Linked DNA regions of Tamandua tetradactyla. The protein of the gene in region 2 purifies or fractionates together with the protein of the main gene of each other region. This does not show direct contact. Links are inferred from orthologs where the notes say so. Each region holds a gene or a part of one and is shown on either strand. Other genes may lie near its edges. The genes, in order: SMAD4, TRIM33 and SSRP1.

What was found.
Region 1: the proteins of TRIM33 (region 2) and SMAD4 purify together in Homo sapiens (affinity purification with western blotting; 7 studies listed by BioGRID and IntAct, with this or other methods). This does not show direct contact. The link is inferred for Tamandua tetradactyla from reciprocal best matches to the Homo sapiens genes TRIM33 and SMAD4.
Region 3: the proteins of TRIM33 (region 2) and SSRP1 purify together in Homo sapiens (affinity purification with mass spectrometry; 3 studies listed by BioGRID and IntAct, with this or other methods). This does not show direct contact. The link is inferred for Tamandua tetradactyla from reciprocal best matches to the Homo sapiens genes TRIM33 and SSRP1.

The regions. Positions count from the first base shown.
Region 1 is NC_135344.1:31,637,214-31,640,958, forward strand, and holds the start of SMAD4 (mothers against decapentaplegic homolog 4), read right to left. Parts: upstream 2,957-3,745; 5' UTR 2,533-2,956; exon of another isoform or gene 2,269-2,532; intron 1-2,268. UniProt on the Homo sapiens protein: In muscle physiology, plays a central role in the balance between atrophy and hypertrophy. When recruited by MSTN, promotes atrophy response via phosphorylated SMAD2/4.
Region 2 is NC_135337.1:7,027,391-7,031,135, forward strand, and holds the start of TRIM33 (E3 ubiquitin-protein ligase TRIM33), read left to right. Parts: upstream 1-1,428; 5' UTR 1,429-1,489; coding exon 1,490-2,018; intron 2,019-3,745. UniProt on the Homo sapiens protein: Acts as an E3 ubiquitin-protein ligase. Promotes SMAD4 ubiquitination, nuclear exclusion and degradation via the ubiquitin proteasome pathway. According to PubMed:16751102, does not promote a decrease in the level of endogenous SMAD4.
Region 3 is NC_135335.1:20,257,184-20,260,928, forward strand, and holds the start of SSRP1 (FACT complex subunit SSRP1), read left to right. Parts: upstream 1-745; 5' UTR 746-893; intron 894-1,367; 5' UTR 1,368-1,488; coding exon 1,489-1,542; intron 1,543-1,957; coding exon 1,958-2,143; intron 2,144-2,719; coding exon 2,720-2,825; intron 2,826-3,076; coding exon 3,077-3,267; intron 3,268-3,745. UniProt on the Homo sapiens protein: Component of the FACT complex, a general chromatin factor that acts to reorganize nucleosomes. The FACT complex is involved in multiple processes that require DNA as a template such as mRNA elongation, DNA replication and DNA repair.

The DNA.
Region 1 (3,745 bases), on a different chromosome or scaffold from region 2:
CTCCAGTGTCTTGGAGTAGTTAGAAGAAAAAATGAAAAATCAAGGTTCTGTAACCCATACCAAACTTTAAAATCTGCTCCATAACTACTTGTTAAAACGTACTTGGAAATATATTGCTTTTTTGAATATATGTTGTTTCACACAAAAAAAAAATCGTCATTGAACAGGAAACGGGAAGAAAACACATGAGGCAAGAGCTATAGGGAAACAAATTAGAACTGAAAGTTTAAACATAAGAAAAATAATAAAATGTTCTCACCAATATAGGCAAAATACTAGGTAAGACTAAATATGTATTTTTAATTTAACAGACTCGGCAGAACCTGTACAGTTAACTGTGCTAGCAAAGATCTCACCAATTCACAGCCCAATGACACTGGTGTCTAGTGATGTTACCTTAACACTGGCTCTATCAGAAAAAGTCATTTCAAGCCAGAGAGCTGAAATGTAACTGCTAGAATCATCAGTTTATAATATTTATTCTTTAATTTAAGAGAAGAGGGGTGAAATTTGAAAGGGAATGCAAAAAAATTCACACCCAAACAGAGAACTAGCTCCACTACAGTACAGCTTAAGAAAGTAAAGCACAGGTTTTTAGATTTGCTGCTTCTTAGTATAACCAGACTGGCTTTGAGGAAAGCCATCATAAAAGGTCAATGAATCACATAAAACTGATTCAGGCTTTCTCAGCACAAACTTTTATGAAGTCTGAAACAGATTTGCAATGAAGTCACTCAAACCAAATTTCACTTCAAAAATAAAAAAAACTAAAATGCATTATCTCTTTAAAGCAAATCCACCCAAAAACCTAGAAAGCAAAGAAAAAGCCACTTCTATTAATAGACTCACAAAATGTTTTATCAATTTTCTCCAGAAAAGCTTTTAGTTTTAACTCCAATAACTTAAACCTACCTAATTCATCACCACCTTAATAACTAAAGTTACTCCAAGTCATAAATGTTTGGCCTCCCTCTATTACATTTGTTCTGTAACAAACCCATTTAAGGAAATAAAATCATGACCACATTATGGAAGAAACACAGATGAGAAACCATATTTTTAAATGTTAATTGTATTATGAATTAACCATATCAGAGCTTTCCAGCAGAAAAATAAAAATTACACCTCAGAATTTCATAAGCTGTATTTCAACTAAAATATATCTAGTCCCGATATGGCAAAGGTAATTTATTGAAATGCAATGTTCTAAATCTAATTTCTTTATAAAAGTATGCATTTCTTCATTTCCTTTTAAGGCTCTAAATGGTTTCTGCCTGCACAAGTACTGACCGGACGTCTTAACCGAATATTCAAGTGGCTACAGACTAAAAGGATGCTAATTCTCGAAAAAGTCAAGCGAGACTTTTTTTCAATCAGCCAAGAACGCATGCCTTTGGAGTCAATTCAGGCTACATAAAATGATTACCTATATTTTGTATTATAAGTACTAAATAACTGGCAACTTAAGCCTAAACTATGGGGCAAAATCTAAAAGAATTAAACCAATTCCAAAATTAGTTTTAGATAAATATGTGCATATAATGGGATGTATGCACAACTATATAATGCTGTGAGCCAGCAAGTGTATACTTCGGATGTGTGTATGGTGTGTGACTGTATCTTAATAAAACTGCATTTTTTAAACATGTGTTAATTTTTTTTTAAAAAGGTTTACTAGGGTTTTCAAAGGGAAAAGAGCTATCCATTTTCAACAGAGTTTTTAAAAAAATCTCTCTATATCCGCAAAGAAACCTTTCATGTTAACTAAAAAACACCCATTTCTTTTAAAATCTAGCTTGAGAATTAAAAACAGCAGCTTAGGGCCTGTGATGGAGTCATCGCCCTCCACGCTACACCAATTTCACGATCTGTACACTTAGTCCTGGCAATAAGATAAACTACGTCTTTTATTAGGAAACATTTTTTACTGAAGGCGGGAATGGCGGTTCAATTAGGTGCTAAAACAGTTTCCTGCATACCGCCATCACCCACAATATCAAAAAGTAAACAAAACAAAGCCAGAAACGTAAACTAGAATGACACGATCAGGAAGAGAAAGGGATGAAGAGAAAAATTTTTTTGCTTGACAAAAAAAAAGGAAAACTATTTACAACTTTTATTTAAAGGTAAGGTTCCTCCCCGTCCACACTCCAACCCAACGCGCTTTGCCGGGGCAAACAGTGAAACTACTTAAATAACAAAGAGGAGCAAAGGCCGCAGCGGGAGTCCTTCCCCTCCGAGTTTAACTTGATTCCCGTCCTAACTAAGAGGGGACTTAGGGACTGGAGGACCAACTCTGGCCCGAGCTCGAGGGACTGGAGCCACCGCGCCCAGCCCGACACGCGCAGGGGCCGCCGACCCGACTGAGCTCCGCAGGCGGCCGCGCTCGCTCGCTCTGCCCAGCAGACCTCCGGCCTCCCGCGCGCTCCCCGCCGCCTCCGCTGCCGCCGGGAGCCCGCCCCGGGGCGGGGAAGCCGCGGGCGGGGCGCACGGGCCTGGCCGGGGGAAGGGGAGGGGACATGGCGCGGTTACCTGGGCTCGGGTGGTGGCGAGAGAAGTCCGCTCTCCCGCCGTTGTTCCCCCAGCAATACAGACTGCTCCTCAGCCCCCGCCTCAGAGAGCCTGGGCCAGTCCGCCCCCTTCTCGGCGCGGCACCGCTGCCCGTGCGGGCCGGACCAGCTCGAGCTCCCGGGCCACCCCGCGACTGGGGGCCTCTCTTGCGGGACGCCTGGCTCCCCTCACCCGCTCCCGCCCTCCGGACGGCCGCGGAGCCGAGGGGAGGGCGAGAAGGGCCCGAGGAAGAGAGCTGGCGGGCACCAACGGGGGCTTCTCCACCCAAGCTGCTCCGTTACCGCAGCGGCGACGACGACCAGGGCCGTGTTGTTGCTGCCAACTTGTCGAACGGACACTGAGCATGCGCGCGCAGGGACCACATCCGGGTAATTTCAGGGTTTGGCCCTTTTCCCCCTTAGCTTTCCCTTCTCCCCAGTGCCCCCGCCTCCTGCCCTGTGTGACGGGTAGAGTCGCTCTGCGCAGGCGCTCGCGGGGTAGTGCTGGTCCGCGCACAGCCGAGAGTCCCGGCCCTTGCTTGGGCCCCGGCGGAGGGGGTTGTTTCACGATGGTGTGGGGGAAAGGCTGCATGCAGAGAGTGGTCATCAAAGAAGTTGGCATCCCTTTCCAAAAAGTGCACAAGCAGAATGGAAGAAGGGGCTGCATTCCTACAGAATCGGCGTAATAGTTTGCGTCTAAGTGTTTGTGATCAGCGGTCAGCGGAGTATTTTTTTTTTCTTTTAGGACCTACGTGGATGCAAAAATTAGATTTTAAAAGCCCAATCTAGCTCAGAGGAGAGGGTAGTTGTACTGATTTAATTCGGGAAGAGACTGGCGGTAACCGGGCCTTCCTTCTCTTCCTACCAGCCCTGGATCACCCCGGGTTAAGGAGATGCGCATGACATTAACCAAGGAATCATATTTGATAGTCTTGCCAGGTATTGTGAAATGTGAGTGATTCTTACTGGAAGAGTTTAGGCGGAATCTCAGAGTTGAAAGAGACTTTCGATGTCATACAACACCACTAACTGAGTTACTTGTTGGCTGAGGAAAGACATAAACTCTGCTGTTCATTCCATACTTTTTGAATTTTCACGAGACATTTCTCTTGTAATTTAAAAAGTATCAGCACACTGTCTGATGTACATAGGCATTTTTTTTCCATGAACTCCGAACCACTTCTCATTGGACGTCA
Region 2 (3,745 bases):
CTTACCTCATGTACTACTCTTTCCCTTGCTCACAGCAGTCCAGCCACACCGACCGTCCTATTCCTCTAACAAGTCAGAAATCCTTGCCTTCCTCAGGTCCTTTGCACTGGCTATTTGTTCCTCTGCCTGGAACAGTCTTCAACAAAAGAACCACAAAGCCTGTTTACCTGCATCACTCCCTGACATACATATCTTCCTCCATTTGATAGTAAACTCCTAAAAGGCAGGATCGCTTTTGTTCTGTTCTCTGCTGCAATCCCAGTGTCTCTAAAATACTGCCTGACACGCAATAAGGAGTCTGAACGAATGAATGAAAAACTTTTTTTGAGTCGGTTTATCTTATTTTAGGGACTTAGACCAGTTCACAGAGCATCGGTTTTTGTCAGAAGACCAAAGCACTTCATAATCCTAACACTAAAACTGCCTTTGCGCTATATAACATCCTCAAGGTACTTGTTTTTCAAATAACAGGCAATCCTTTCTGAAAGCATTTACTACCAGAATTGCTGGGTCACCTGCCACCTAACTCACCGCAGGACACTTGGTGATATTAGAAGGACCAGGTCTTAGAAGGACCTAATATTGGTTAGACGGGTGGCTTTCCCAACTGCCGCTCACCAGAATTACCCTAGGTAATTTTTAGACATCCATCTGCCCTCTCTTTCATTTCCTGATTCAGGTCTGAGGCATAACCCTGGCGTGTTTTAAAAAAGCTTCTCAGTTGATAGGTTTTTTTTTTTTTTTTTTTTTTGGTATGTAGCGATATTTGAGAATCAAGCTCTTTAAGAAGTTAAAAATAGCTATTAAAAGAGTTTCTTCCCTCACCGGGTGCGTTCGACTTGTTTCTGGTAGGCGCCAGTTAGAGAGAAAGTCCCATTTCACTACTCCCCTGAGCAGCAGTCATTGAAAGGAAGGCGGCCGGACACCGCACAAGAGCGCCAGGTGCTCCCGCGTCCCGGGCGGCAGGTGAGGCTTCCGCGGAGAAGCCTTCCGGGGGCCGGGGCGACGCCGGCCTAGAAACCATCCCTCGGGCCGGAACCGGCCTCAGTCTCCTCCTCTTCCACCCTTTCCCGCCCTTCTTTCCGCACCACCGCTGTGTCCGAGCTCACATCCACCCCCAAGCCAAAGGCCGTCCAAGGCCAAAGCCTCGGTCTTTGAAAAGTGGTTACTCGTCGGACCGCAGAGAAGCAGACACAAGACAACCTCGGAGGTCCAGCAAAGACGGACAGCTCGGTCGCCACCCACCTCGCCCGGCTCCCGCCTTCCCCCAGGAGGACGTGCGCCCGTACGTGCGCGCGCTGCGTCCGCCCTCTTTCCACCGCGCGACGCGAAGGCGGGGGCGCCGTGTGCGCGCGCGCTCTCGTTGGTTCGCTGGCTTGCTCGCTCTCGGCGGCCGCTCTCGCTGCGGCTGCGGCTGGGGCTGGGGGCGGCGGCGGTGGCGCGGGCGGCTGGCGGCGCGGGGCGGTCCGGCGGGTTCAAAGAGGAAAACATGGCGGAAAACAAAGGCGGCGGCGAGGCTGAGAGCGGCGGCGGGGGCAGCAGCAGCGCGCCGGTAACTGCCGGGGCCGCCGGGCCCGCGGCGTTGGAGGCGGAGCCGCCTCTTGCCGCGGTGCTGGTGGAGGAGGAGGAGGAGGAGGAAGGCGGCAGGGCCGGCGCGGAGAGCGGCGCGGCCAGGCCCGACGACGGGGGGGTGGCCGCGGCCGCTTCGGGCTCGGCCCCGGCTGCCCCAGCCCCTGCGGCCTCAGTGGGCTCTGGCGTCCCAGGAGGGGCAGTGTCGACGCCGGCCCCAGTTCCAGCCTCGGCTCCAGCTCCGGGTCCCTCGGCTGGGCCGCCGCCTGGCCCGCCAGCTTCGCTCCTGGACACCTGCGCCGTGTGTCAGCAGAGCTTGCAAAGCCGGCGTGAGGCGGAGCCCAAGCTGCTGCCCTGTCTTCACTCTTTCTGCCTGCGTTGCCTACCTGAACCGGAGCGCCAGCTCAGCGTGCCCATCCCGGGGGGCAGCAACGGCGACATCCAGCAAGGTGAGCTGGAGGCCTTGCCGGAGGCTGGGCCTCAGGGGATTTGAGCAGTCGAAGTGGACGGAGGTGCTTGGGCCCTGGACTGTTCGGACCGGCGAGCTCTGAGGGGTCGGGTAGTGAAGGACCCAGCCCTTGGGACGGTTTCCAGAGAAGCGGTACCGCAAGAAATGCGGGGAGGGTGAAGGGAGGGGTGCGGGCGCGAGAGACTGGGGGAGGGGACACCGGCTCCAGGGAGGTTTGTGCTGTGCAGACACGGGCTGGGAAGGCGTGGACTCGTACCAGACGCTGGTTCGGATGTCAGTGGGCCCCAGCTGTGAGTGAGGAGGGGTCTTTTCGGAACCGATTTTCAGAACCGTTTTGGGTGGAAGGGCCTCCGTCGGGCCAGGAGAGGTGTTGAGGAGGGAGTAGGTAAGGGATTTGGGATGTGGTGAACGATTGTCTGAAGGTAGGGGATTTGGCTTGTTCACTATTAAGGGGAAGAACGACTAGAAATTAAACAGTGGGAGGAGGATGAAGGGCACTGGAGAGTTTGGGAGCCCCCAGAGAAGGCTTTCTGGTTGAAAGTAATTTCAGGATGACATTGGGAAGGAGGAACTCTGGAAAGGAGACTGACTAGCTGTGAAGAGCCTGAAAGGTTAAGAGGGAAAAATTCTAAGATTTAGGGGTGAAGGAAAATGAATTTTGAAAGGAATTGGGAATTAGAGGAAGCGGGGCTTGAATTTCACTTCATTGTGCCTTTATGAGCCCCTGCTGTTCCAGCCTTTGTGCTAGGGTTGAATAAAATTGTCAACATGGAGTTCATTCACAATCGAATAGAAACAGATAACGTGCAGCGGCTGAGGTGGGTATTTGGCATAATGGGGGGAGGGAAGATCGGGGAAACCGTGGAGCAGGTTTCTTGAAGGGTGAGTAGCTACTGGGTGGGAGGGTATTCTGGGCACAGGTCACCTTACACATCCCTGGGCCTAGGGGGGTGTATAAAGTGACTGCTGGAAATTACATTGGTTCAGTGTCCTGGTAGGGAAGGGGTCTGTGATCTCTTATCTCAAACTCTTGGGCCAAGTATGTTTTGAACCTAAGAATTTTTTTTTCTTTTTCTCATGGAGTCTCTTACATAATATCCCGTCAAGTCCTGAGTTTACACCTTATGATCAAACACTGTTTCTGTAGTGAAACGTATGAATATCACTCTAATGGTAAGGACAGTAAGTAGCATCTCGCAGTTTAGGGTGGGTTTTGTTGTAAACTTTTGAAAAAAAAACTTTTAAAATGTCTAAGCTTCTTGAATTTTGGAATTGTAGGCAAGGGGTTGTAAATCTGTACTAAAGGGTTTGGGATTTATCCTGTAGAGTATGTCCTGTACACTGCAGACTAAAGGGAGTCTCTGAAGGGCTTTGATACCAAGGGGATAAAAAGATCAGATTTATGTCCCAGAAAGATGAGTTGGGGCCACATTGAGAGAGAGATGAGGGAAGGCAAGGCTGGAAGCTGGAAGGTCAATTAGGTGGGTCTTTGCATCAGTTAGGAGGCTCTAGTAATTAACATTTGGGATAGGTAGTAAAGGACTGATAAGTGTTAAAGAAGGAAGGGCTTTGGAAAGAGTAGGGACTTTGTAAGTGATGCTCAGTTTAGTCGTCTAGTTTGCCATTTTACTCGTGACTTGGACAGACTAATGTTCCTTAGCTTGTTTCTTCATTTGTGGAAGGGGAACAAAAATACCAACCCTCCTA
Region 3 (3,745 bases), on a different chromosome or scaffold from region 2:
TTTCTCATCTGCAGAAGGAGTTGGATTAGAGCAACATTTCTTCTCGGTCTGGCCTTCCCTGGTTTTGTAAGACGCACGGTGCGGCTCGGTTTCCGCGATCCCAGGCTGATGGGATTTCAAATCCTTTCCGGCTCTACGGTGCATGTGACACCAGCGCTGGAACTTGACACCGCCGATTGCCAGCCTCTTCCGGGGGGGCCTATCAATTGCCGTTTTGAGTGCGGCTTTTGGGAGCAGACAGTGAAATTTCAAAAAGAATCCAGCCCTACTGGACCGGGGATACAGCCAGAGAGCCATATGGTCACAACACCAACGCCCGCATTCTCTGTGCAGCCAGTGGGAGGGGTCGTTTCTCGCCACAGCTCTTTAAATCTTTTCCTTCAGGTTCCAGAGACTCCTCTCCGCTCCAAAGCAACCACTCTCGTGCAGTGGAAGGACGTGCAACACCGCAGCACGGACACACGCATACGTGCAAAGTCTTGATAAAACAAAACTATACAATTTCCCTTTAGAATCCAGTCCTCCCCTGAAGAAGGGGCTGTAACTTCCTAAAGAAGCACTTCCCTCCTGGAGTCAGATTCCATTCCCCTGCCACCCCCCCGGGGTAAGCGGACTTCAGCCCCCAAACGACTCCCTCGGGTCCTCCAGAGCGGCTGACACTCTATGGGACCGCCTCACAGGCGGTCCGGGCTCGCGCTTCTCTAGCCCGCTCGTCCTCTCTATGGTCTAAGCGCGACTTCCGGTGGCGGGACGCGGGGCCGCGCACGCGGGAAAGCTTCCCCTGCGTCCCTCTTCCAGCCCCCAGGTTCCCATCCCCGTTTCCCCCTCCCCCTGCGCCCCCCAGCGCGCCCACCGCCCGTGCCGGGGCCCTCGTGAGGTGGCCGCCCGAGGAGGTAGGTGGCCGGCGTCCCCGTCCCCCAGGGAGGCGGGCTCAGCTCCCCCGCGGCACGCTCGAGATGGACCGTTCCGTATTCGAATCCGCGGGCAGTGGGCGAATCCATTTTGGGGGGAGGGGGAGACGCGGGTCTGGGGCCGCGCCGCGCGGGTCGCTCGGGGAGGGAAACTCTGCAGCCTGAGCTGGGTTGGGGGCCCGGGCAAGGTGTGGGGTCCTGGCAAGCCCTGGAGTTCCGCTGCTCGTTGCCATGGCGCCCAGGGGAGCGCTTCGAGCTAGGGTCGGGTTGGGGTGGAAGCGCTCCTTCGGGCCTCGGTTCTCGGGCCGGGCCTGGCTCCTTTACCCCGCAGAGGCTGCCTGAAGCTTCCCAGGCAGGGGAGATCCTGAGACGTCCCAGGGCCAGTCGCGGGTGCCACCTCGGCCCAGCCCCGAGCACAGTGATGTCTTTCGTGCTGGTCTGTCCTTTTGAATTTAGGTTCCCAACTTGCGGAACAACTGGACGCGCACCGAGGAGTTGGGACTCAGCTCCCAGTTTTTTTTTGGCTCCCCCTTGTGCAGCCTAGGGCTTCGTGCCCAGGCCAGCGGGCCAGATCAGCATGGCAGAGACCCTGGAATTCAACGACATCTATCAGGAGGTGAAAGGCTCAATGGTGAGAAAGGCTTGAACTTTTAATACGGTTGGAAGTGGGGTAGAGAGTTTGTGCTTTAACAAGGGCTTGCTTTGATAATGTGGTTAGTATGGAAGAGGAGGATTCAAAATATTATGTGTGTCTGGTGCTTCTCCAACGAGGAACGACACTGAGAGGGACTCCTTGGATCTCAGGGTTAGAAAGGATTTTATAGGTTGTTCGGTTCCAAATCCCGCTGTTAGAGATGAGGCAGTTAAGGACCCACAGGGCTTTGGGTGCCAGAGTGGAGATGAGATCCATTCTTCCTATTTGTCTGTTCTCACTGGCCCTGACGACTTCTGGTGTTGCTCCTGCATCGATAAAGGGCATTGGGTGGGACCATGCATGGCACCCAGTGTGTACCATCTCCACCTCTCTGGGCCTGTTTTCCCGACAGAACGATGGCCGGCTGAGGTTGAGCCGCCAAGGCATTATCTTCAAGAACAGCAAGACGGGCAAAGTGGACAATATCCAGGCTGGGGAGCTGACGGAAGGCATCTGGCGTCGTGTAGCTCTAGGCCATGGACTTAAACTGCTCACAAAGAACGGCCACGTCTACAAATACGATGGCTTCCGAGAATCGGTGAGATGTCCTAATGCAAATAGCCTCCTTTTTTGTGTTATCTTGTATATTTTTGAACTTTTAGAGAGAGTAGGGACTTTCCGATAGTATTGCTATTTTGAGCTTATTAGAGCTGGGCCATTGAGGCCGTGGAACAGTCAGGGTTCTGTTATGCTGTTCAAGTCTGGTGAGTTTCTTTAAGATTTCCTGCTGTTTTTATTTAGATGATTTCTACCTGTTTTCTTAATCCAGGTTGAGAAGCTTGGCTTGATGCTTTTGTTTTATTTTTCCACTTGGAGTTGCTTCAGATTGGAAGACTTTCTTTATCTTAATTGCCACTTCCTTTAAAGTAACACCTATACAAAGTTTAAGAAGCTAGTACTATTAAGTCTCATAAACAGGAATGTCAGTTCATTACTTTACTCTTCCTCTAGCCTGCGATCCATTCCCTGTATACAATCTCTTTAAACTACTTTACAGCTGAGATTAAGTTAGCATGGATTTTTGACACAGGGGGTACCGGGACAGTCTCTTGTGAATACGTAACCCTAGCCTATTCAAGGCTGTGTTGAGGTTCTCTTTCTCCTCTATCCACAGGAGTTTGAGAAACTCTCTGATTTCTTCAAAACTCACTATCGCCTTGAGCTAATGGAGAAGGACCTCTGTGTGAAGGGCTGGAACTGGGGGACGGTGAAGTTTGGCGGTGAGTTTTAGGAGAGACTGGTTTATAGGAGAAGGTAGGATGAAGGGTTTTGGTCTTTGACTCGTTTTGCTCTCTGTCCTGTGCCACTGTCTCCGATTTCTGGTCAGTCCATGCATTCATCCTGCATTTTATGGATATCGCCAGTGTGCACAAAATAACCCCAGTTCCCCTTCCTCACGGAACTTACGGTCTGGTGGAAATGCTCTTTGTTCAGGGGAGGAGCATGTGGCTTAATAATGCCTTCCCTATAGGGCAGCTGCTTTCCTTTGACATCGGCGACCAGCCTGTCTTCGAGATACCCCTCAGCAATGTGTCCCAGTGCACCACGGGCAAGAACGAGGTGACACTGGAATTCCACCAGAACGACGATGCAGAGGTCTCGCTCATGGAGGTGCGCTTCTACGTGCCTCCCACTCAGGAGGATGGCGTGGACCCCGTTGAGGTGAGGCCGCCCCCACTTGCCTTGGGAGCAGATGGTAGTGAGCAGACTTGGGCTGACCTGGGGACAGGAGCTTGCCTGATGACCAGGGTGTGCTTTTTTTTAGTTTTTAAAAAAAATATAACAAACAAACGCAAACATTCTTAATTTAAGATTATTCCGTTCTACACATATAATCAGTAATTCACAATATTATCACATGGTTGCATATTCATCATCATGATCATTTCTTAGAACATTTACATCGATTCAGAAAAAGCAATAAAAAGACAACAGAAAAAAATTCATCCATACCATACCCCTTACTCCTCCCTTTCATTGATCACTAGCATTTCAACCTAAATTTATTTTAACATTTGTCCCCTCTATTATTTATTTTTATTCCATATATTTTATTCGTCTGTTGATAAGGTAGACAAAAGGAGCATCAGACACAAAGTTTTCACAATCACACAGTCACATTGTGAAAGCTGTATCATTA